3 linked regions of the Pelodiscus sinensis genome follow. Each later gene encodes a partner of the first gene's protein in a complex. Links are inferred from orthologs where the notes say so. Each region holds a gene or a part of one and is shown on either strand. Other genes may lie near its edges.

What was found.
Region 2: the proteins of BACH1 (region 1) and FBXL17 are in contact, whole or in part, in a cryo-EM structure (PDB 8UAH), measured with the Homo sapiens proteins. The link is inferred for Pelodiscus sinensis from reciprocal best matches to the Homo sapiens genes BACH1 and FBXL17. Residues at the interface, in NP_001177.1 of Homo sapiens: Val20, Leu21, Ser23, Leu24, Gln27, Val32, Leu33, Asp35, Phe39, His48, Arg49, Ser50, Val51, Ala53, Ala54, Cys55, Ser56, Ser57, His60, Ser61, Arg62, Val64, Asn72, Thr74, Pro76, His116, Asn117; in NP_001156787.2 of Homo sapiens: Asp395, Arg421, Asn447, Gln473, Gln498, Glu499, Met524, Arg548, Cys574, Leu575, Tyr598, Val600, Ser601, Asp623, Trp626, Met651, Arg652, Val676, Gln678, Asp679, Cys680, Arg682, Thr683, Glu685, Gln689, Trp692.
Region 3: the proteins of BACH1 (region 1) and FBXO22 are in contact, whole or in part, in a cryo-EM structure (PDB 8S7D), measured with the Homo sapiens proteins. The link is inferred for Pelodiscus sinensis from reciprocal best matches to the Homo sapiens genes BACH1 and FBXO22. Residues at the interface, in NP_001177.1 of Homo sapiens: Ser7, Val8, Phe9, Ala10, Tyr11, Glu12, Ser13, Ser14, Val15; in NP_671717.1 of Homo sapiens: Asp366, Gly371, Asn372, Phe373, Ile374, Leu375, Arg376, Lys377, Cys378.

Annotation. Positions count from the first base shown.
Region 1 is NC_134711.1:181,342,386-181,349,757, reverse strand, and holds the start of BACH1 (transcription regulator protein BACH1), read right to left. Parts: upstream 3,062-7,372; 5' UTR 2,671-3,061; intron 1-2,670. UniProt on the Homo sapiens protein: Transcriptional regulator that acts as a repressor or activator, depending on the context. Binds to NF-E2 DNA binding sites. Plays important roles in coordinating transcription activation and repression by MAFK.
Region 2 is NC_134716.1:63,827,107-63,834,512, reverse strand, and holds the start of FBXL17 (F-box/LRR-repeat protein 17), read right to left. Parts: upstream 3,062-7,406; 5' UTR 2,868-3,061; coding exon 2,121-2,867; intron 1-2,120. UniProt on the Homo sapiens protein: Substrate-recognition component of the SCF(FBXL17) E3 ubiquitin ligase complex, a key component of a quality control pathway required to ensure functional dimerization of BTB domain-containing proteins (dimerization quality control, DQC).
Region 3 is NC_134724.1:31,595,719-31,603,135, reverse strand, and holds the start of FBXO22 (F-box only protein 22), read right to left. Parts: upstream 3,019-7,417; 5' UTR 2,526-3,018; coding exon 1,924-2,525; intron 371-1,923; coding exon 238-370; intron 1-237. UniProt on the Homo sapiens protein: Substrate-recognition component of the SCF (SKP1-CUL1-F-box protein)-type E3 ubiquitin ligase complex that is implicated in the control of various cellular processes such as cell cycle control, transcriptional regulation, DNA damage repair, and apoptosis.

The sequences.
Region 1 (7,372 bases):
AAGTAAACCCTAGGTATTTCCACTGGGACCTGTTAACTCAGATGAAAATTAATAACACTCTCGTGTTACATAATGCAAGTTAAGAACAAGCCTTATTCTAGAAAAAATGAGGCTTTGGCCTTGCTCCAGCGATTGGTCATGTAAAACAATATTACAGTTATAGCCACACAGGCAGTGCACTCATTTATGTGGCACTAGTTTTTCTGGAGGTACATCGCATGGCTTTATTGTTTCAGTAAACAGGGCACTATGAATTCTTCCTCGTTGGTAATATCTGGGAGCAGGGTAGTAAATAAGGAAGGTACTGGAGGACTATCAGCACTAACACATTCAATAGAGTGGATGAAAACTAATAGCTGACAAGTTTTGGCTGTGCACTCCCCAGGAAAAGGGGTATGCTAACTCATATTCAGCCAACAAGTTGTCACCATTGAAGTTTTAAATGCAGCACCAATGGGCTCTAGATAAAACCACTGCCACAAAGGGAGTAGCTAACAGTACTGTGAGTGTGTTTACACTGCACTTGACAGCACTGTAACTTGCTAGCTGGCGGGAAGAGAGAGGAGAGAAGAATGTTTTTTACACCCCTGAGCAAGAAAGTTACAGAGCAATAAAGCAACTTTGTAAATAAACCCTGGGCTACCCTCCCCTCTAGGGCCAATCAACTCAAGTTAAAAGCATCACTGCACCTGAGTGAAGGGAATCATGTGTGGTCAATACCTGCAAGTAACTAGGCAGCAAATAAAGAACCAAAAAAAGAGATTCTTTCCATAATCAGGGTGCATTTACACAGTAGGGCTAAAGTCAAATTAAGCTATGTAACTTCAGCTATGTTAACTGCATAGCTTAAGTCAAAACAGCTTAATTCAGCTTTTGGTGCTGTCTACACTGTAGGAAGTCAAAAGAATAAACACTCTTCCTTTGACCTCCCTTACTCCTCATGAAATGACGGTTACCATGAATTGGAGTAAGAAGTCCTCCAGCTTAACAGTATTTCGAAATAGAGGCTTGTAATGTAGATGTGCACTATGTTATTTCAGAATAATGTCAGTCATTCTGAAATAACACTGCTGTGTAGACGTATCCTCACAACAGCTACAGAATTTAACAAAAAATAATCTGAAAAAAGAACTAAGAGGTCTGGCCATACCAAACACTTGGAAAAGTTGGTGCAGGGTGCTCAGATGTGTGTAGGGGATTCATATGTGCATACATTTTCTGAACATATTTAACATGAAAGAAGAATTATGCCTACTTGATCTATTTTTCTCCAGATTATAATTTCACTAATTTTGAAAAAAGAGCACTCGAGACTTGCTCCTATAAATCATGTATGAAAAACTGCATTCACACTACACACAATGGTGATGGTCATATTAGGGTAATAAAATGTGAAAGCAGGATCTCCCCCCCCCCCCCCCCCCCCGGGTGATTCCAACAACAGCAAATGAGAAGGGCAATAACAACACATGCTGACATCAACAGCCATAAACAATTTCAGATGATTTTAGCATAAAAAAAGTTAACAGTGCCTAAAAATTCCCATTATGAAACACTTGAAATTGTTTAGCATCAAACCATTCATAAATTAGGCCCTCAATCTTGCAGATACTCATGCACATGAGTAGTCTCAATTAATTCAGTACAATTACTTACAGATTGACAAACCCACAAAAGCATGAAAATATATGTCCACATTCTCTCAGCACACTTAGTTCAAACTCATATTTATTTTCAGCTATGTCATGTGATTCTGAGTTTAAAGAACAGACAACTACAGTACTTCAGCCTTCAGGGGAGCAGAATTGGTTGCAGAGTATATGTATGACGGAAAGAAACCCATAGTGCTAAGTTGCAACACTCAGGTCAATGACTTGGGCTCTGTGGCTCACCTTGCAGGGCTAAAAACAACACTGTAGATGTTCCTGCTGGGGCCCTGAGGACTGTACCATTCCCTGGATTTTCATAGACATACTCTTTAACTGTGGAGCCATAGTTTTTAGGCATGCTCCCTTGGGTTGTAGCTATGTATAACAATACTGCCATGCTTTCTCTTTTCACCCAGAGATCTACACGGTGTGTCAAACTATTTTGTCTTTTATCCTGTAATGTTTTGGAACTGTATAACTGCTCACAACTGATTAAAAATAATTAGCACTTAGCAAGATGCAGGTCTGTATGAATTTGAAATTACTGCAGTATTATGGTGTTAAAAATGCCAATTCAGGTCCTCTCACTGCTAGTTTAACTATTAAATTGGTGACAACCTCTCCGTAATTGTCATTTTCAATTTGATTTTCCAATGCCCGTCACATGCGAGGCTTCTCACAGTACAGACTAAAAGCACATCTTCCCGGAAAAGTCTAAATTGAAATCGGCTGGACTTCTACAATTGATGAGAGACGCCGTAATGCTCACAATTAGGAGATTCATCCAAACCAAACCATTAAAACCAAATTAGTAAGACTGAGGGGCTCCTTTGTCTGAAAGGAGGAGGGCGATTTTCCGGGGCGGGGGAGGCGTGGGGTGAGCCCTAAGCACACTGGCCGGCGGACACGCAGCAGGGAAACGATGAATAGTGAAGTGCCCGGTTCCGGAGAGCGCCGGACTTCATGGAAAAACCTGCCAACGCAAAGCCACGCGGGCGCGGAGGCGGCAGCTGCTACGTACCTGTCCCAACGCGGGTCCGAGGGCAGCCCTGCTCCTTTCGCCCGGCTCACCAGGAACGGCGCGGGGGCAGCCAGGGCAGAGCCAGCGCTCAGGGCCCGTGGCGCCCGGACAGCTGCCCACCTCGGCCCAGGTGCCGGGGGAAGGGAGCAGACACGGCCCCGCTCGCCGAGCTCCCCTCCAGCGGCGGCGCGGGTCCCACAGCCCCAGGCGGGTTCTGACCCCGAACCGGCCACAGAAGAGCCCCGCGGCGCCAACAGCTGCGCTCCCCGCTTCACCTTCCGCCAGCGGGACAGGCGCGTCCTCCCCAGGCCCAGGCAGGGCTCAGCTGCCCCGAACTGCGGCGACGGGAAGGAATCAGCTGACCCGTAACAACAGTCCTCCTCCCCCTGCCCCGACCCCTCACTTCCTGCCCGCTGATTGGACGCTGCCGGCCCGGTCGACGCTCTGACGCCAACGTTGACTACAGCGCGCGTGCGCGTCAGGCTCAGCGCCGTCGCTTTCTTTCCGCCGCGGAGCTGTTAGCGTGGCCCCCGGGGGGCGCGAGCGTGGCCGTTGGGCTTTGGAACGTTCTGCTCCTCGCTCCGGGGCATGGTGGCGCGCGCTGTGTGAATCCGGGGTTTAGCACCGCACGCTAAAGCCAAGGCCCCATGCAAGGCCTCATGGCCGCCTGTGCACAGCCCCTGCTCACCCGCATGTAGACTCCCAACCATCCGCAGGGGCTTGTTACCTGGCTAGGGTTTCCCAGGCTTGCCCCTTTTCTCACGTGAGGTAGCTGTGTTGGGAAGCCTGTGAAGATGCTCATTGCACAATGTTAGCTGGTCAGTGTTGTGGGCTGGATTCCCGAGCTTTAGAGGAAGCAGAGCGACTCCAGCCCCAAGCACTCGAGCTAAGGAAGGCAACGATGCCATTGCAAGGAAACTTTTGAAATTTGGTTTTCTGCCACAGTGGAACAAATAACTCCAAACCTTGCAGCAGTTTTGAGGAAATAAAAATGTGTTGAAATTACAGAAACATAGGGCTGGACAGGACCATGAGTGCTCATCAACTTCAGCACCCTGTATCAAAACAGGACCGAATAAACTTAGACTGTTCCTGACAGGTGTTTGTCTAACCTGTTCTTAAAACTCTCCAGTGATGAGACTTCCACAACCTCTTTTGGAAGCCTCTTTCGGAGCTTACCACCCTTATGATTTGAATTTTTTTTCTGCTGTCTAGCCTAAATCTCTCTTGCAGATTAAGCCTGCCTTTAGTGAACAGGGAGAACAGTTGATCAATGTCCTCTTTATAATTGCTCTTGCTGTATTTGAAAATTATTATGAGGTCCTTCCTCAGTCTTCTTCTAGAATACATGCCAAGTTCTTTTAATCCTTCCTCGTAGGTTAGGTTTTTCTAAACCTCATTTTTGTTGGACTCCTACGAACTCTCCAATTTGTCTACATTTTTCATTGTGTGGCACCCAGAATTAATCACAGAACTCCAACTGAGGCCTCACCAGTGTCAAGTAGAGTGGGTGTGATGGGGCATTTGCCCCCACACTGGCCCTTTAAGGGTTAAAACCCAGCCTGGGAGAGGGCTGGAGCAGTGGATCTGTGGAGCCAGCAGCTTTTGGCAGGAATTAGCCAATTAGGGCCCATCTCAAGGAAGTATAAATAAATAAAGGCTCCTGGAGGGAAAGGAGAGGTTTGGATTCACTCTTGCTCCAGCTGTAGAGCAGAAGGGACCTAGCTACCAGGGAAGCTAGAGGCTTCCTAACTTAGAGCAGTGCTGGGGAAGCTCTCCTAGGCAAGTACTACCTCTGCAGGGGGGCAGCCAGGGTAGGCAAAGGTAGTAGGTCCACACTCTCTTGCCTATGATGAGTGGTCATTTCAGACTGCAGTCTATCCCTCTGGCAGGGGCTAGATGGAGATTGGCAGTGAGTCTCTGAGGCAAGGGGGGGGACATAGGGAGTTAAGGGTTCCTAGAAAGGGAAGACCACAGAGTGTGGAGGCACTGCAGCAGGAGAGTACCAAGGGGAAAGGGTACCATAGTCTTGGAAGAGTGTGAGTCCTAACAGAGTGGCAGAGCTCATAGGAAGAATGACACCTGCTGAAAGGAAGTGCTCCAGAGCTAAAAACCTAATTCCCAGAGTGTCCAACAGGAGGCACTGTGCTGGTGAATCACACTGTTACAATTGGACAGTAACATTCCTTGGCTTAAATACACAACACTTCCGTTAATACATCCCAGAATGCTTTTTTTCACAACTGCAACATACTGTGGGCTCAATTTGTGTTCCACTATTATTCCTATATTCCGTTCAGCATCTCTACTAGTTATTCTGTATCTTGCAGTTGAGCATTTTTTTTCCATCATGAGTGAAATAATTTGCACTTGTCTTTATTGAATTTAATCTGTTTAGACTGACTTTCCATTTTATCAAGATTACTTTGAATTCCAATCCTATCTTCCAAAGTATGTGCAATCTCTCCTAGTTTGGTGTCATCATCAACTTTTAAAAGTGGGTTTCCTATTAATGTTATCTGAGTCATTCATAATAATACCAAATAGGGATGTAAGCGAGTAGCTGAGTACCTGACTACTCCCTCTCTCCCTCCTCCTTCTCCTCTCCCCCTTCCCCCACTGCTGCTTCTTTATGAGAGGCAGCAAGGGGGAGAATAGGAGCTGGTGCTGGGGGGAAGTCCGCTTAAAAGCTGGTTTCCCTTCAGCACTGTCTCTGTAGTGCTGCTTTCCCCGCCTCTATCAGCCTATCTCTATCTGCTTGCAGCAAGCTGAGACTGTTTCAGGGCAGGCCCTGTCCACAGGGGTCTGGGCTGGCCATGGGCAGAGGCCGTTCCAGCAGCAGCCCCTGCCTGCGGCCAACTCAGGCTGCCACGAAGAGGGGCTGCTAGACTTGGTGCAAGCTGGGACTGAGCATTTCTGGAGCAGGTGTGAGCTGGGAACTATCCCCACTGTGGCTCTGCAGAGTGGCTCCCTTTATCAACTAATCGTGTGATTGTCTTTCAACTAGTGCACCCCTTTTATAATAATTAAATTTACATTGTGTTTCCCTAGTTTGCTTATAAAACGTTATATGGGACTGTGCCACATGTCTTAGTGAAAGCGCTTTCTGCGGGGTGTAACTTATAATGCTGTTATCATTTGGTTGCTTTCAAATTGTTTAATTTTAATTGCTCCTATATCGTCCCAGATATTGAAGTGAGGTGAGTGCTCCCAGGATCTTCTTGTTCCCCTTTTTAATGATTGGTATAAGTTTATCCTTCTGCTGGTCTCTGGAACCTCACCTGTCCTCCAAGAATTCTCCAAGATAATTAATGGTTCAGCTAGTTCCTTAACTACTCTAGGATGAATTTCAGTACCATATTAACTTCAGTACATCTAGCTTACGTACATATTCTTTAACCTGTTCTTTCCTTATTTTGGCTTCCTTTCCCCTCCCCCTTTGTTCATATTAATTGTGTTAAATATCTGATCATCATTAATCTTCTTAGTGAAAACTTCAGCCTTTATGTCCACAGTTATTAGCGCTCCTTCCCTGAAAAGTAAAAGACATATTTTTCTCTCACTCTCTCTTGCTTCTAATATAATTAAAGAACTTATGTTTCTTGGTAGGTGTAATTCATTTTGTTCTGTAAATTTTGTAACTCTATGTGCTTGTGCTATTCTTTTGCACCCCTGCTTAGCAATTTGTCCATGTTCCCGCATTTTGTAGAATTTTTTTTTTATTTTAAAGGGCTCCTAATAGTTATATTGACCTCTTCCTATTCCTATGTTTCTTTAAATTGGGATAATTTGTAGTTGTGTCTTTACTGTTGTCTCCTTGAGAAACTGTCCGGTCTCCTGAACTTGCTTTATCTGTTAGATTTTCTTTCCAACGTACTTTACATAACAGTTCTCTGAATTTGTAAAAGTGTACTAAGTCAATTGCCCTTATTCCTCTGCTCTGACTTCCACCTTTCCTTATACTCAAGAAAACTATTATTTCATGATGATTTTCACCCAGATTGTCTACCACCTTAAAACTTACAGTCAATTCTTCTCTACTCAGCACAAACTCTTAAATGGCTGTCCCCCTGGTTACTGTCTCTACTTTCTAAAACAGAGTGGTCCACAGTACGGTCCAAGAACTTATTGAACAATTTGGTTTCTGGCATGCTGTTCAGACAGATGTCTGGGTCATTAAAGTTCCTCATTACTTCAAGTCTGTTTTCAGATTAAAAGCTTTTACCCTTGTTCACCACCTAAAATGATGGCCATGGTATCTTGCTTCTTGAACCTGAGTGAAAAATTAAAAATGACATTTATTAAATGTACAATGGCACGTATGTAATGAAGCATATAACCTCAGGTCTCCATTGTTAAGAATTAGAACCAAGACTCATTAATTTTGTTATACTTTGAATTAGGGATGTTAAATTGTGGGTAGTCAGCTAATCGAGTAGTCAATGGAATTTCCATTTACTACTCAATTAGTCGATAAGGGGGGAAACTCCGCTATGGCTCTGCCTTTTAGATGTATTAAGAACTGCCAGGCTCTTAACGCATTTAAAAGGCAGATGCTCAGCAGGGGGGACCAGGAGTAAGCCGGGAATCAACTGATTCCTGCTTTGCACCCAGTCTCCCACTATGCCTCTGCCTCCCCTGCCCCATCGAGATGGCTTTTAAGCCAGTTCCCCCCCATCACTGGCTCCTGATCCCCTCCCCT
Region 2 (7,406 bases), on another chromosome or scaffold:
GGAGCTGGCTTTTAGGCCAGCTCTCCATGAGCACTGGCTCCCGTTTCCGCTCCCCACAGGTTATGCTGCAGAGTTCTGGGCAGGCTGTGGCCAGCACTAGGGATCAGGCCCCCCTGTACTCACCATGAGTGTAGGAGCTATGGGAAAGTAGAGCAACACAGCAGCCTGCTCTGCTCTACTGCCATTTCCTAAGCCCGGTGTGGGGCTAGAACATTCCACTTCCTGCTGCCATGGTGAAGCAAAGCAACCAGGCTAGACTGGTATATTGTGGCAGAAGCTGCTACATTACTCCACTTCTCTGCAGCTCCTACCACTATGGTGAGGGCCAGGGAAGAGGTTGTCCCCAGTAATCACTTAGGCTATGTCCCTGTGGGGAACAGGTGGGGTAGAGCAGCGACTGGACTTGGGAGAAGAGTACAGGAACCCCCCAGAGTCACAGGGATTCACACGCCAGCAGCCACGTGCAGGCCAGATTGTGCAACTGCTCAGGTCGCAAATGGCTCACGAGCTATGTGTTTGAGACTCCAGACCTACATAACCTCTTGACTGTCAGCCCTGATCTGGAAATCAGATATAGGAGCCCTGCTACCCTGCTGTCAGTCCCATCCTGAGTTCACCACTGGATCCTTGCCCTCCCAGCTCCCGCTGTCAGCCCCTGAGATGAAGGAATAAGGGACCTCCTCTTTCACTCCCCACAATGTTTCACTTTTATCCATACAAGCACTCTTCACGACAACATGCACCACGAGCAGTGGGGGGGCCAATGTGAACATGAAAAACAGCAATAATTATTGTGGTAGCCATATGTTAACCTGAAGTAGATCAATTTAATTCTGTGGAAAAGGAAGACTTGAGTTTGACTTATCCCTGAGTATCTGCATAGTGGGGTGGGAGGAGGGACATAAGAGGATACTATTTCTTGTCTACTGTTCAGAAAAAAAAAGGGGGGTCTGATCCTGCTCATACTCACTGCAACAGGATCAGCATTTGTCTCTATGTGAAATCTCTTACATGTGCCTATTAGAGTATTAACTTTATGTATTGATGTAAACATACCTACAAGCCTTAGTGAAGAAAAGCAGTAAACCTGAAGCGCAAAAGCAGGATTCCAGGGTATGTTTGTACTGGCTCATACACCTGTGATTCAGCCCAGGATCAAAGCTAACTCCTTAGGATCTACACTGCAGTTGTGCAATCCCAGTGCTTTGACACAGAAGCTGGAGTCAACCTGGGACCCAGCTTCTGAGCCCTACTGCTTTGCAGTGCAAATGCGCTCAAATTTGACTGAAGTCCTGAGAGCCATCTGGAAATACACCATAATTCCACTGAACAAGATTCCTTAGTCTTCCTTATCCCAATAATCTTTAATCCACCATTGAAAACGGAAGACTTTCACCTCCCACATACAGTTGGCAAAAGGCAGCAGCTCAAGTCAGCACTGAACCATTCTTTCTGACCACTGACCTGCAAGCACAAGTTCAGAGACCTCCGGAATTTGCAACAGAAAGCAATCTAATCACACCTTCTGCAAAATAAGCTTTTTCCTGGTAACAGAGCTGGCAGTAAAGTTTCCTACACTACCCAAGTCTAAGAATGAAAGCTTCCACCTTTTAGGGAACAGGCTACATGGTAGGTACTTTGGAAGCTTTAAATCAGATCTGTGTACTACAATGTGGATGCCAGAACCCTAGAATTTGAACCCAGATTAGAAAAAGCTTGTGGTAGGTGTTAAATATAATTCAGACACTCAATGCCAGGGTTCCTGAACATTAGTCAGCAAGCTCAAGTCCCACTAACCTTGGTCTAACGTTGCCTTGTCTCCTACCCCTGATGCAACAACCCAAATATCTCTATGCCCCATTAAACAGATCTCTATCCTGATTCCCTTGAAACCGAGTCAGCTGACACAGGTCATCCCCCTGGGTGTGTGGGTGCAGCGAGGAGACATACCCTGCATATCCATAGCCAGAGCCCCGCAAGGAAGAAAGGCGGCCCTTTCTCACCATCCTGACAGCTCCCTGAGCAGCACCACAGAGTCACTTTCAACTCTGGCTCCCTCTAAAGCCGCTTGCGAGGAATCACCGTCCCCGCGGCGGGGTCAGGCCCGCATCCAGACTCACCTTGAGCAGGATGGAGGGCGGTAGCTGGTTGATGTCGGAGGGAGGCGATAGCGGCGGCTCTCGGCAGCACTCGCTGTGGTTCTCGGGCGGCTCCTGTCGCTCCGGCTCGTTGCTTTCCTCCTCCTCCTCCTCGTACGGCGGGGGCAGCTCAGGAGCCGGAGCCAGCTCCCCCACGCCGCTGCTCTCCCCGGCCGGGCCCCTGAGCGGCGGCCCCCCAGCGCTGGCAGCGCGGTCGGTGGCACAGGGCAGGGGGCAGAGCTGCTGCTGCTCGCTCGGACACTGGCAGGCGGCGGCCTCCGGTTCCGGCGGGGCGGCGGCGCAGCGGGGCTGTTTGCAGGGAGGGCAGGCGGGCAGGCCGGCCCCTTTGCGCTTACACACCATGTCGGGGGCCGGCTCGCCGGGCGGCCGCGCTGAGCCCAGGAAGGCCCGCACGGGCGGGGGCAGCAGGCCCGACAGGAGCAGGCGCTGACACGGGCCCCGCTGCTCCCAGGCGCCGGGCGGGAGGTGCAGGAGGCGGCGGGCGGCGCGCTGCTCCGGGGAGCTGAGGGCCGCGCAGCGAGGCGAGTCCCGGCCGGGCAGGGGCTGCTCCGGGGCGGGCGTGCTGGCGCCGTGCACGATGAAGCAGAGCATGCAGGGCCCGCGCAGAAAGCAGCTCCGGCTGCGCTGCGGCACCTTTCTCCGGCGGCGGCGGCGGCGGCTCCTCTCCCCGCTCAGGCTGGTTCCCTCCCTCGAGAGCAGGTGGCCCATATAGGAGGCTCCGGAGCGGGGATTTGCGGGGGCCCGGCCGCCGTCCCCGGGCAGGTCCCTTCGCGGTGTCAGCTGCGGCGGGGGGCAGGGGCGGCGGGTGTCATGGGCCCGGTCGCTAGGCGGGGAGCGGGAGGTGGCGCCGGTTCTTCCGGGATATTGAACGGGGAGAAGCTTCCGCTACCGCCGCCCTGACCTTACCCAGAAGCCGCTCGCGGCCCGCCAAGAGGGGCCGCTCCGGCACTGGCGCTCTGCGGTGCTGCCGCCTACGGCCGGGCTGTGCTAGGGCCGCCAAGCCGCAACTCCGGCGGCCGCCCTCCCCGAGCCCAGCCACTCTGCTCCTACAGTACTTGCACTCTCCCCCTTCCTCCCCCCCCCCCCCCCCCCACACTCTGGGACAGCCCCACAGTCCTCTCACACACACACACAGCTCACAACAGCCCCCACTCCTTCCTCCTCACACAAACACAAGTGCCCTGCTTCTGCTCCCTCAGGCCACACAAAGGAACTTCTTTTAACACAAGCATATTGCTCCGTACTGCACCAAGGCTATGTCTAGACTGCAGGCTTCTTTCGAAAGAGGCTCTTTCGAAAGCATCTTTCGAAAGAGCCTCTTTCGAAAGATCGCGTCTAGACTGCAGGCGGATCTTTCGAAAGAGAAATCCGCTTTTTCAAAAGAGAGCACCCAGCGAGTCTGGATGCTCTCTTTCGAAGATGGCCTCTTTACATTGAAGAACGCCTTCTTTCAAAAGAGAAACTTTCGAAAGAAGGCGTTCTTCCTCGTAAATTGAGGTTTACCGCCATCGAAAGAAAAGCCGCATTCTTTCGAAATAATTTCGAAAGAACGCGGCTTGAGTCTGGACGCAGGGGAAGTTCTTTCGAAAAAAGGCTACTTTTTTCGAAAGAACCCCTGAGTCTGGACACGGCCCAAGAGACTACACACACTGCCATGGGTAGTGTTCGCTCACAACAGTCTGTGTCCCCCCCCCACAAATTGCCCCAAACATCCCCCAAGAGCTGCTTTCCAATATGGTAATCACCTCCAAGAACGGCTTCCCCAAGAATTTCAATCAGATTCAACATTTCAGGGATTACTATCCCTCCCTAACACCTAACAAAAGAACTGGCTTTTAAAATAGGCTCCCCAAAGTAACTAAATTACTGAGGAAAAACTACATTTCACAACACCGGACCAAATTCTCACACACAACTTGCACCACCACCCTGTTTTTCCTGTATACTGTACTGGACAATATGGCCCAGGACCTGGGTTGCTGGGCTGTTCTTCCCCTTGATTTCAGTCTAACCACAATCATGAGAATGTTCTGATTTTAAAAATACAGTGGAGTTGAGATACACACGAATAGCGTATTTTTTGGAATTTGGATAATGTTTTAACAATAGTTTATTGTAACATTTTTATCAGAAAGAATTGTGTAAAACCATTGAAAACAGACAACTATATGAGATCAATATTCTGGAAAAGATAGGGAGGATGTTAGATACCATGTAATTGAATAATTGTGTAACCACATCAATTTTTAGTCACTACATGACTGTTGGATTGGCTGCTGGCCCTGGCCCTGGCCCTGGCCCTGCCCCGAGGACTGTGTGCTCCAGACCCCACTCACAGGGAGCCCCCTGCCATCAGCAGGGGGCTGTAGGCAAGCCCAGGGCCCACTGCAGTCAGAGGCTGTTCCATAGCAGCCTCCCTTGCTTGCCCTCCTGCACCACTGCATCTGACAGAGGTAGCAGTGTGGGGGGAAAGGGAAGCAGACTCAATGCTCGTGGGAAGCCAGCTTTTTTAAGCCTGCTCCCCTTGAACACTGACTCCTGCCTTCCTCCCCCCACCTCATTGGGAGGCAGTAAGGTGGGGGGCAGGCAGCTCCATGGAGATGACATGTACGGAGAGCTGGCTTAAAAGTCAGCTCTCCATGGCTATGTCTACATTGGCAGGTTCTTGCACAAGAACTCTTGCACAAGAACACGTTCACACTGCCATGTGCTTTTGCGCAAGAACATCCATGGCAGTGTGGACGCTCTCTTGCACAAGAAAGCTCTGATGGCCAGTTTAGCCATAGGGCTTTCTTGCACAAGAAGCCCCGGCCGCGCATCCACACTGTCCTCTTGTGCAAGAGGGCTTACACTTGTTAGAAAAGAACATAGCTCTTGCACGGGAAGCCCTTTCTTCCAACACTGTACTGTAAATCTTCTTGTGCAAGAGCAGGCGGGCAGTGTGGACACTCTGTGGGTTCTTGCGCAAGAATGGCTGTTCTTGCGCAAGAACTCGCCAGTGTAGACATAGCCCATGTGTATCTGCTTCTACCATCCTCACTCCCTACCGCACCGGTCCCTCTGATATGGAGGCAGCAGCATAGGGGGACAGACAGCTCTGTGGGATCCAGTGTCACCACACCGTCCCACTGGCACCAGGTGCTGCCTTCCCCACCTTTGCTACCTCTGTGTGTGTAGTCAACGGAATTAACCAATAAGCCCAGCCTTATCTGTTAATCATGTGATCCTCTACACATTGACATCCCCCCCCAAAAAATCTTATTTAATAGATGAAAATGTTAACTGAAAAAATATCCCTTAATTGTGTTAAAAGTTTTAAAGACAAGCATACATTATGTTTATGTATAGGCCCACTTCCGCAGACAAGCAAGTAACTTGATTTATGTGAGTTGTTCCTATTGATTTAAGTGGAGTTAACAAGATGAATGAAGTTACACATGTAACATATATTTCAAAATCACACTTAGGATGACTACACAGCATCTTTTTTGTGCAAAAACTTCTTGCGCAAAAGGGATCCGAGGAGGAAATGCAAATGAGAATGTGACATATACAAATGAGGGCTCCATTTGCATTTCCTCTTGCAGAAGAGGCTGGTAGTGTAGATGTAGCCCCCGGTGTTTGGCTTCCCCCAAACTCTATGTCCCCTCTTTAGATTTTTTCCCCCAAACTCTAAATGTTCCAGCTGACTTCTTTTGGGTTTAATGCTTTTAACAGTTTGGTCTACAAGAAACAGATTGTATAATTGGTCTCTCTTTAGGTCCCTGCAAAGACACAAGTGGTTACATTTAAGTCTTAAAATTTATCCACAGGGCTCAGTGTTAATGGCAGTTTTGAGCTGAGCTTGTGTCTAAGCATTTGCTAGATTACTGCCTTAATAACTTTAATAAAATACCCCAAAGTGCCTTAGTTTTTAAACAATATGGGGCAAAAATTTGCTCTTTGTTACAGTGTATAAATTGGATTGCTCTTCATTTACATCATGTTCAAATAAGAGGAGAATTTTGCCCTTCACTAAGAGGGAAAAAACAGATTTTAATTAAAAATATATGATCCTATTGAGAATACCTATTATCAATAACAACTTTTTATGTTGGGATTACATGATCAATGACACATTATATTTTTGTTTTCTACATATATTTCCAATGCTGTCTTTAACAGCACAAGATAAGGTATGTTGCATCTTAAAGAAAAACATCCATATGAGAGAATTTAATCTGAATCTGTAAAACATTACAATTCATTTAAAAATTCAAATAGAAATTAATGTCAGATTTGGCATAGTTTTTCCCTTGATGTTCCAGATGTCCACTTATCATGGGTGTGACCAAGTTTCTCCACGGTCCTGTAAAGTTTGTTTACAGCCACTGCTCCAGGATTTTAGTGTTCTGTGCCGTTATTTAGATCTCATTTATCCCTAAATGTGTTCTAAGCAGTGGAAGTGTTAGTAATGTTGTTAGACATTATTGAGCTCCCATAGTTCAGCAAATTTTCTGGTTCAGCATCAGTCAGGTCTGGAGGGTGCCAGATTAGAGAGGTTCAACCCATAGTAACCTTTGCTTAAAGTCAAACACAGTGATTAGTTGCACCTACTAAGAATCAAGAGGTGGATGGGCACAAGCCTGCCCATGCATAAAGGTGATGAGCGATTAGTTGCAGCTCATGGTAGGAATGCTCTAAAAGCATGAAGTTCCTCTATCTTCTTTCTTCTCTTCTTATCTGGTATTTTTCCCAACACTTCTCATAATTTTTGTAACCCGTTTCTGGATATTGTTTTTTTCTGCTGTATCCTTTTCAACATAGAATGACTAGTCCTGAACACCAAACAGTGTTCAAGAAGTGAAACTCTTTTTCCTTTCTGGATATAGTTTATTTAGATCGTAGCACTTTGTGTGAGTAATTTAAGTACCTTCCAATTTGTTACATTACATTTGTTAACAGTAACTTTAATTTGGCATCCTGCTGTAAATTGCCTATCTTTGTCTGGCATTCCTTGTAACCACATTGTTCATCCAATTTTTCTGATCATTAACTTGGGTTTGGGACCGCCTCGTTGAAACTTTTTCTTTAATGAAAATGTATAGAATTTATATATACTGTTAGTTTAGCATCTCTTAGCTAGTGTAATAGGATTGTAGGATGCACCTTACAAATAGAAATAGGTCTTTTCCATTGTCCTATCCTGATAGCAACAACAAGAACCATGGATAAATAAACCTTCTGAATCAGTTCTGCTAATTCATG
Region 3 (7,417 bases), on another chromosome or scaffold:
TCAACCTTCCAGTCCAGCAATGCAGGATGGCAGGGGATCCCAGAGAGTGGGTCTGGATTGCACTGACTGCCAGCCCTGCCCCACAGGTACCACAGAATAGTCAACTAATCACTAAGAATTCATGTGGTTAATTGACTATTTTATTACCTGCCATCTAACATCCCCATTGTACCACAGTAGCTAGAAATTCACATTGGCCATTGCAATGTATATAATTAACAATGGTATTTTACCTACCTCAAGTTCTTCAGCTAATGCACGGACCAGTGAATGACTATCAGATGGACCAGGCTCAAGTGCAGAGACCCACTCTATGCTCTGCTGTGTTCTCAGTAATCTACGGGCACATTCTCTCCACAAACGGCAAACACTGAAATACAAAGCTTTACTACAATACACAAAACAAAAACTTAGCAGCTGTCAACCATTTTTTTCTTGTTGACTTCTAAGTGTCTACCCACATTCTTGAGAAAATCTTACCCTTAAAAAAAAATTTCAAGTTTAAAACAGAGTGTAAACCAGGGCTACTTAACACATGGTGGGCTGCAGCCTGCAGTACAGTTTGGGTTTACGCGGGGCTCAACATGCGGCCCGCGGGTGGGATCTTTTGAACATGGCCTGCACTGGGAACACGCTCCATAATGGCAAACCAATATAACGATCTTCTGTTGATATGCATTTTAGTTGTTAAATTCCTGGACTGCCATTGCTCATTAAAAGTGCTGTGGAAAGATGGTAACTATTGAATTTTATTAATATCAGCGCAACTGACTTAAATAGGGCCTGCACATTGTGCAGTCTTGCCTAAATCTTTGTATTCCTGTCCATCAGTGTGAAAGAAGCTATTTGCATGTATTTGCATATATATTTGCATGTACGTGCAACCACACTTGAGTGGCAGCCCTCAGCATGTGCTGTATGATTGTGGCTGCCGGGGCTTCCAAATTGAGTAGCCCTGGTATAAACAGTGGATTAGTTTTCTACTAATTTTTATTAAAGCACAAACTGACTGCATTATTTGTATGGGTATTGTCCTAAGAGTTGTTTCCGATTTAAAAAAATGCTGTCAATTTTGACTACCTAATTCAGTACCAGTCAGAACAAATTAAGCAAATAATGGTGATGCTGGTCAAAAGGGCATATTGAATAATTCATTCTCAGCTCCTCTCTACAGCTCAAATATATAAATCAGTAAAACAAAATGGTGTTAAAGTCCAGATAATGTAACTTTTTTTAAAATATTGAAAGGACCGCATACTCCTTGTATTCTCAAAAAAGTATTTTTTCTTGTATCATTAGATTTGGTCACAAAATCTATTCTTCTGACTCATAAGAATTTAGTGCCAACAAAACTCAATGTATGTAAAGAACACAGTGATGTTTTTCTTCAAAAAAGAAAAATGTTGATTTGAAACATTCAGAAGCCCTTGGCTCATGTAACATAGTTAGTTTTAAAAGAAATGTGTCAAGCAACCACAAAACTCCTGCTTCCGTGGTTTGTGTTGCAGCTCTGCTAACCAAAGCAGCTGTGCTGCTAGAGAAGAGCATTTACTGGAAGAACCCAAAGCGCTTCGGGGGTAGCCGGGCTGGTCTGTGATTCCAAAAGCCACGCACAGTCCCGCGGCGCGGCAGGGCCTGCTCTACATGGAGACACGGGATCCCGAGCGCTCGTGGGGAAAACACTTGTCATCGGACGAGCACAAATAATCCGTCAACGTTAACACGCGACAAGCGTTGTTACAAGCCCCGCCCACAAGCCGCTCCCCGCTCAGATAAACGCCTCGAGCCCATTCCTCGCCTGCTCAGAAACGAGGCCTGGCGGGCCTGCAGCTCCGACCTGCGCACCGGGCGCCAGGGGGAAGCAGCGGGGACGCGAGGCCAGGCCCGATGCGGACTAAGAGGAAACCCAAGGCCGCTCCTCACCAGGCTGCCCGCAGCAGCGCCTTGGTGGGCAGGAAGCTCAGGACCCGCTCCACCACCACGCACAGGTTACTCAGCACGTAGGCCCGTTTGCCGTCCAGCTCCATGGCAACTGCGCCCACGGCCTTCCTCGCGACCCAGGCGGCGCACTCCGAGTACGTCATCCGTAAGGCGCCCACTTCCGGTCCGCCTCTAACGCACGTCATCTGCTCGCGCGGGATCCGGCGGCTAGCGTCTGAGCAGTGGCCACGTGACCTGATGAATGACGCGGGGAGTGACTCGCTAGTGGGCGTGGCTAGCGCGGCACGCGGCGCGTTGGGTTCTGCTCCCTGCTGCGGAGCAGGGTGGAGGCGGCTGTGGGGTGGCTGACCCCGCCCGGGCCGGAACGCGCAGCAGCAGACACGGCCGGACGGGATCTGCCGTGACCCCGCGCAGCAGCTCCAGGCTGACCGCTTCCGGCGACTCTCCGAGGGGGGGCCGCCAATGGGAGCGAAGAGGCTGCAGCAGGGGTAGTGCTGCTGTCTCCCCTGTGCAGAGCAGAGCGCCACGTGGAGCTGCCAGCCGCCTCCAAGGAAATGCCTTAGAGCCTGCACCTGGAGCTCCATCTCCTGCAGCTGCTCACCACCTGAAACCTCTTCATGCGCATCCCCCCCCAACCATTTCCTCCCAAACCTTGCACCCCCTTCTACTAGCGATGCTAAAAACTCATTATTTTATAAGCCATTGAAATTTACAGTGGCTACACCTTTACACAGAGGGAGGCATAGGGAGCCAGCTTTTTTAAGTAGGCAGCCCATGAGCACCAACTCTTGCCTCTCCCCACCCCTGGGCGCATTGCTACCTTTGATTCTGAGATAGCGGGCAGGGAAGAATGGAAGGGGCTGTGTGTAATCATTTGGCCAGTGGTTCTCAAATTCTTTGGCCTATGGACCACCTGGCTCAATGGAAACCTTTCTGTGGACCACCAGTTGCTAATGGAAACTCACCGTTAATTACATAATTTTGCCCAAGACATTTTGCTAGTGCTGCAACTAGGGAAACTGATTTAATTTAACTTTCTCATGTTTATCAAACTTCATTTTAAATAATAAAATATTAATTTATGTCCAACACAAAAGGTTTCAGTGTTTTCTTTATGGCAGTTGTGGGGAATCATTTTTTGTGTCAGGGACCACTGACCCACAGAGAAATCAGGTGGGGACTACATAAGTGAGAAGCAAAAAAGCTATTCCCCAAACCCTCACTGCTGTGGCCCCCCAACTGAGATACCTCACTCCTCTGGCACTCAAGCCCCACGGGGGAAGGGAAGACCAAGGTTCAGGGCTTCTCAGAGGCCAGATTTACTTTCCTGTGGTTCCAGAGTTAGTGGATTTTATGGATCCCCTTGGGCTCTGGGGTGGGGGGAAAATGAGGTGTTCAGTGTGTGGGACAGGGCAGCCCGTGGATGGGCTAGGGAAGGGATTCAGAATCTGGGAGGGAGGTGGGGTGCAAGGTTTGGGTGGGAAATAGGGTGCAAAAGCAGGCTGGAATAGGAAGACTGACAGGGGGAAGGTGCAGGAGCAAGAGAGGGTGCAAGAGCAGGCTGAAGGTAGGGTGTTTGGCCAAGAGAGGGGTGCAGAAGCAGCCTGAGGGTAGGGTGTCTGGCTAGTAGGGAGGATATATGAGCAGTTCAGGGGCAGGGTGTCTAGCCAGGGGTAGGAAGTGCCTGGGGCTAAAGCTGGGGGCAGAGCAGCTGAGAGGATTCAGAGAGATGGGAGCATGGTGCCCCTGGGAATAGGCCGGGGGGGGGGGGGGGGAGAGGGTTCAGGGAAATGGAGGGGTAGGGAGGCTGGGCATGGCCCGGGTGGGTGGGTAGGTGACCCCGGGGTATCCAGTCCTGCAGGGGTCCAGTCCATGGCATCCTCAAGGACCGAGCCATTGCTTGACTCCTCCCCCAAGACTGAGTCCCCATGGGTGCAAAGCAGTGTTCCCTCTAAGATTTTCCATTCATGAGGAGCGAGTTTTGTGTACCAATATTGAGGTCATGTGCACTTGTTCAGATGTGTGCCACTGTGGCACCCAAGTTATAAACTTCTCCCTTTTCCCCTCTGTTGTCATATCTCCCATTCTGCCCTTGCCTCATCTGCTCTCCTGGTGCCTGCTGCATGTCAGGACTGCTGCGTAACTTCTTGCTAGTTGTCTGGAGCTTCCTCTGTCTCAGCCCTGCTTCAGGGACTGAGAGGCAGGACACCAGACACCGTGACTGCAGCCCTATAGGCTGGGAACAATCAGGAACTACACAGCATGGTGCAGCAGCTAGCAGGAAGCCTGCCATCCAATGGTGCATTGCTGACTGGAGTGACCAGTTATCCCAGTCCAAAACAGGATGCCTGATCACCTTAGTTGCATATATAGGTGAGTGATTTTTAAGGCACGGGCTCTAGCTGGATTAGAGCTTATCAACACTAATCGGGCCTTCTGATTATGTGCATAAGAAAAAAGGTACACAAACATCCAGCAGCATATTTTAAATTAAAATGGTCCCAATCCCCACACAACATTTTACTTTATAGAGAAGTAATGATTAAGCTAACTGCATAGTTGCTCATTAGGAAAGAAGTGAAAAATAAACTAATTTTAATATCACATACAAAAAAAGCAGATGAAGCAGATATGGGTAGCTGTAGCACCCATCAATGCTTTAAGTGTCATTTTAGAAACCCAAGAAGCTGTTGTTTAGCGCAAAAGCGTATCTATCTCTTCTACCAACAAAAGATGTTCCAAGATCTCACCCACCTTTTCTCATAATCCTGGGATCCAGTACAACTACAACAATATTGCAAACAACTTTCAGAAATGGTCAGCAGTTTCTATGTTAATGTTCCTTTAATGCAGATTTCTATACAGAGAGTAAAACTTGAAAGTTACTTTAGTATCAACATCTGTATTGAAAGTGACATTTCCCATGCCCATGCAGCTCAACACATTTTTGCCCTATATTCCCATAGAACATTGCCACTATAAGTAGAGTTGAGGTGCACTCACTGCATTTTTAATTTTTAGGTTTAGAAAGATTTTCCATTTTTTCAAGGTGAATGGGGGTCAAACTCAAATATGATCTTACTGCAAAACAATTATTTTGTTTCCTGTTTCTGATTTAGATTGTGAACTCAACACAAGGATTCTTTGACAAAGGGAAGTGTGAGGCAGCACAGTACTGTTTGCTTCCACTTGCCAAATTAGGTAATTTGGCTGCTGTGCTAATGATTTTCAGCTCTGTCTGTGACTGAGTAGGTTTCTGGTTTTCCTAGCAAGATCAGAGGAATTAGATAAAGGCTGCAATGGGAGGCTTGATTCCAAGAAAGTTTAAGGTGTCTGGATGGGGAGGAAAGTGAAATGAAAGAGGTGAAAGATTGAATCTGATTGCTTTCCTTCCATTTGCTCACTTGGGCTACATCTACACTGCAGGCTTCTTGCACAAGAAGCCTTTTGCACAAGAGTTTTTGCACAAAAATTTCTTATGCAAAAGCACGTCCTCACCTCAAAGCACATTGCAAAAGTGATGTGGTTTTGCGCAAGAGAGTGTCCACACTGCATGAATGCTCTTGCGCAAGGAAGCTCTGATTGCCATTCACAGAAAGGCCATGTTTATGGCCATGCTTTTTCCCACAGGCACAAGAAACCCCTCTGGAGCATCCACACTAGCCTTTTTGCACAATAGCTGTAGCGCAAAAAGGAGTTATGCCTCGTAAAAGGAGGTTTACCTATGCCGGAAAAAGCCCTCCCTTCTGCCGTTTTACGGTTAATTTACTTGCACAAAAGCACATTTGAGGTGTGGCTGCTCCACGGGTTTTTGTGCAAAAACAGCTGTTTTTGCGCAAAAACCTTGCAGTGTAGATGTAGTCTTGTTGGTTAATGAGACATGCAGTTTGAAAGTCCCTTTGATGTTAGAGGATAAAGTAGCAGCAGTGGAATACTTCTCATCTGTGGCTGGGCAAGTCAATCTCTCCCCCCACCCTCGACTCCTTATGGGCCTTATTACCATTGATCCATGTGATTTTTATATTTAGACCAAAGGTGGGGAACCCTTTTGGGTCAGGGGCCGCTGACTCATAGAAAAGTCAGGCAGGCAGGGGGCAGCAGGGGCTGAAGTGCCAGCAGAGGCTCCCCACTGCTGGGGGGGAAGAAGTCCTGAGTCTCGGGGCTGGATCCTGGCAAGCTGGGTCATAGGTTCCTCAGTCTATAGACTATAATGCATTTTATGGGCCCATACCTAAAGTAGGAATGTTAAGGACTAGTTGACTATCCAATAAGCAAATACCCAGTCCCCAGCTGACCCCAGCTCCACGTGGCATTTCCAATTGGCACCACAGCATGGAGCCTGGGGTCAGCGGGGGACTTGAGTCCCCTACTGACCCCGGACTCCATGCTGCATTGTCACTTTGAAATACACAAGAACCCCTGCATATGAATTAGTCGAGTAGTTACTTAACATCCTTAACCTAAAGACAATTTAGGAACATTATCTAGTGCAGAATGCCCTAGTCTATATACTTAATGGAGCTTTTCACAGGATTATTTTACACCTGTGCTCATGAGCCTGAAATTCAAAGTGTTTTTAACCTGTTGACCAGTTTTTCCTTTTTATAAATTGCATTGGTTGGGAACACACACATGTATGTTTATGAACAGAAAGCTGTCTATATTTGAAGACTAACCACAAACAGAATAATTCTTAAAATGGTTCTTTATTCATAAACTTGATGCAAGTTTACAAATTACTGTACATTGCCAAATAATTCTGCAATGAAAAATGAAATTCAAAACAAAGCATGCCAAATGTGCATCTGTCAACCTGCTAGCCCATTAGAATATTAAAGAATTTAATAATGTATTCAAAGATTTTAGCCTCAGCTTTTAAGGAACTTTTAATGCTTAAAGTGTTCTGCCTCTCTCTTAAGGTTGCTGTCCGAGCAACTGGCTACCAAGATTGCATATGAATATATGTACAACCAAGTAAGCAGAAAGGCTGGCAAGTCATCCACTATGCTCCCTAGAAAACTATTTGAAACAAAGAGTACTTATCAGGAGTAGTGCCAAATTCCTTCATCTGTTCTTTCAAGCTAAAAACTGGATCTAGAAGCAAATGCACAAGGCCTCATGTGTGTCTGATAGAGAAAAGAAGAGCACAAATCTGATAGCTGTAACTTAAAAAACCCACATGCTTCTGGGCAAAAAAAAAGTGCTTAATCCATGGTACACACCCTTATATCAATCCCTGGCAGTACAAAGATCTAATCACTAATACTACAACCAAAATAGAATTGATTTAGATAAGGCAATGAAATATAGTAATTACACAGACCCAGATTCATTTCCAAAATAATGAAATAATAGTTCCTGTTAGTCTTTCAATAACAAAAAGTACTATCATGATTATTTCTACATTATTTCAACATTATTTCTACAAATCTGAATCAGGTGATGTCTTTTTTGTATTTTATTGTAACTTTTATAT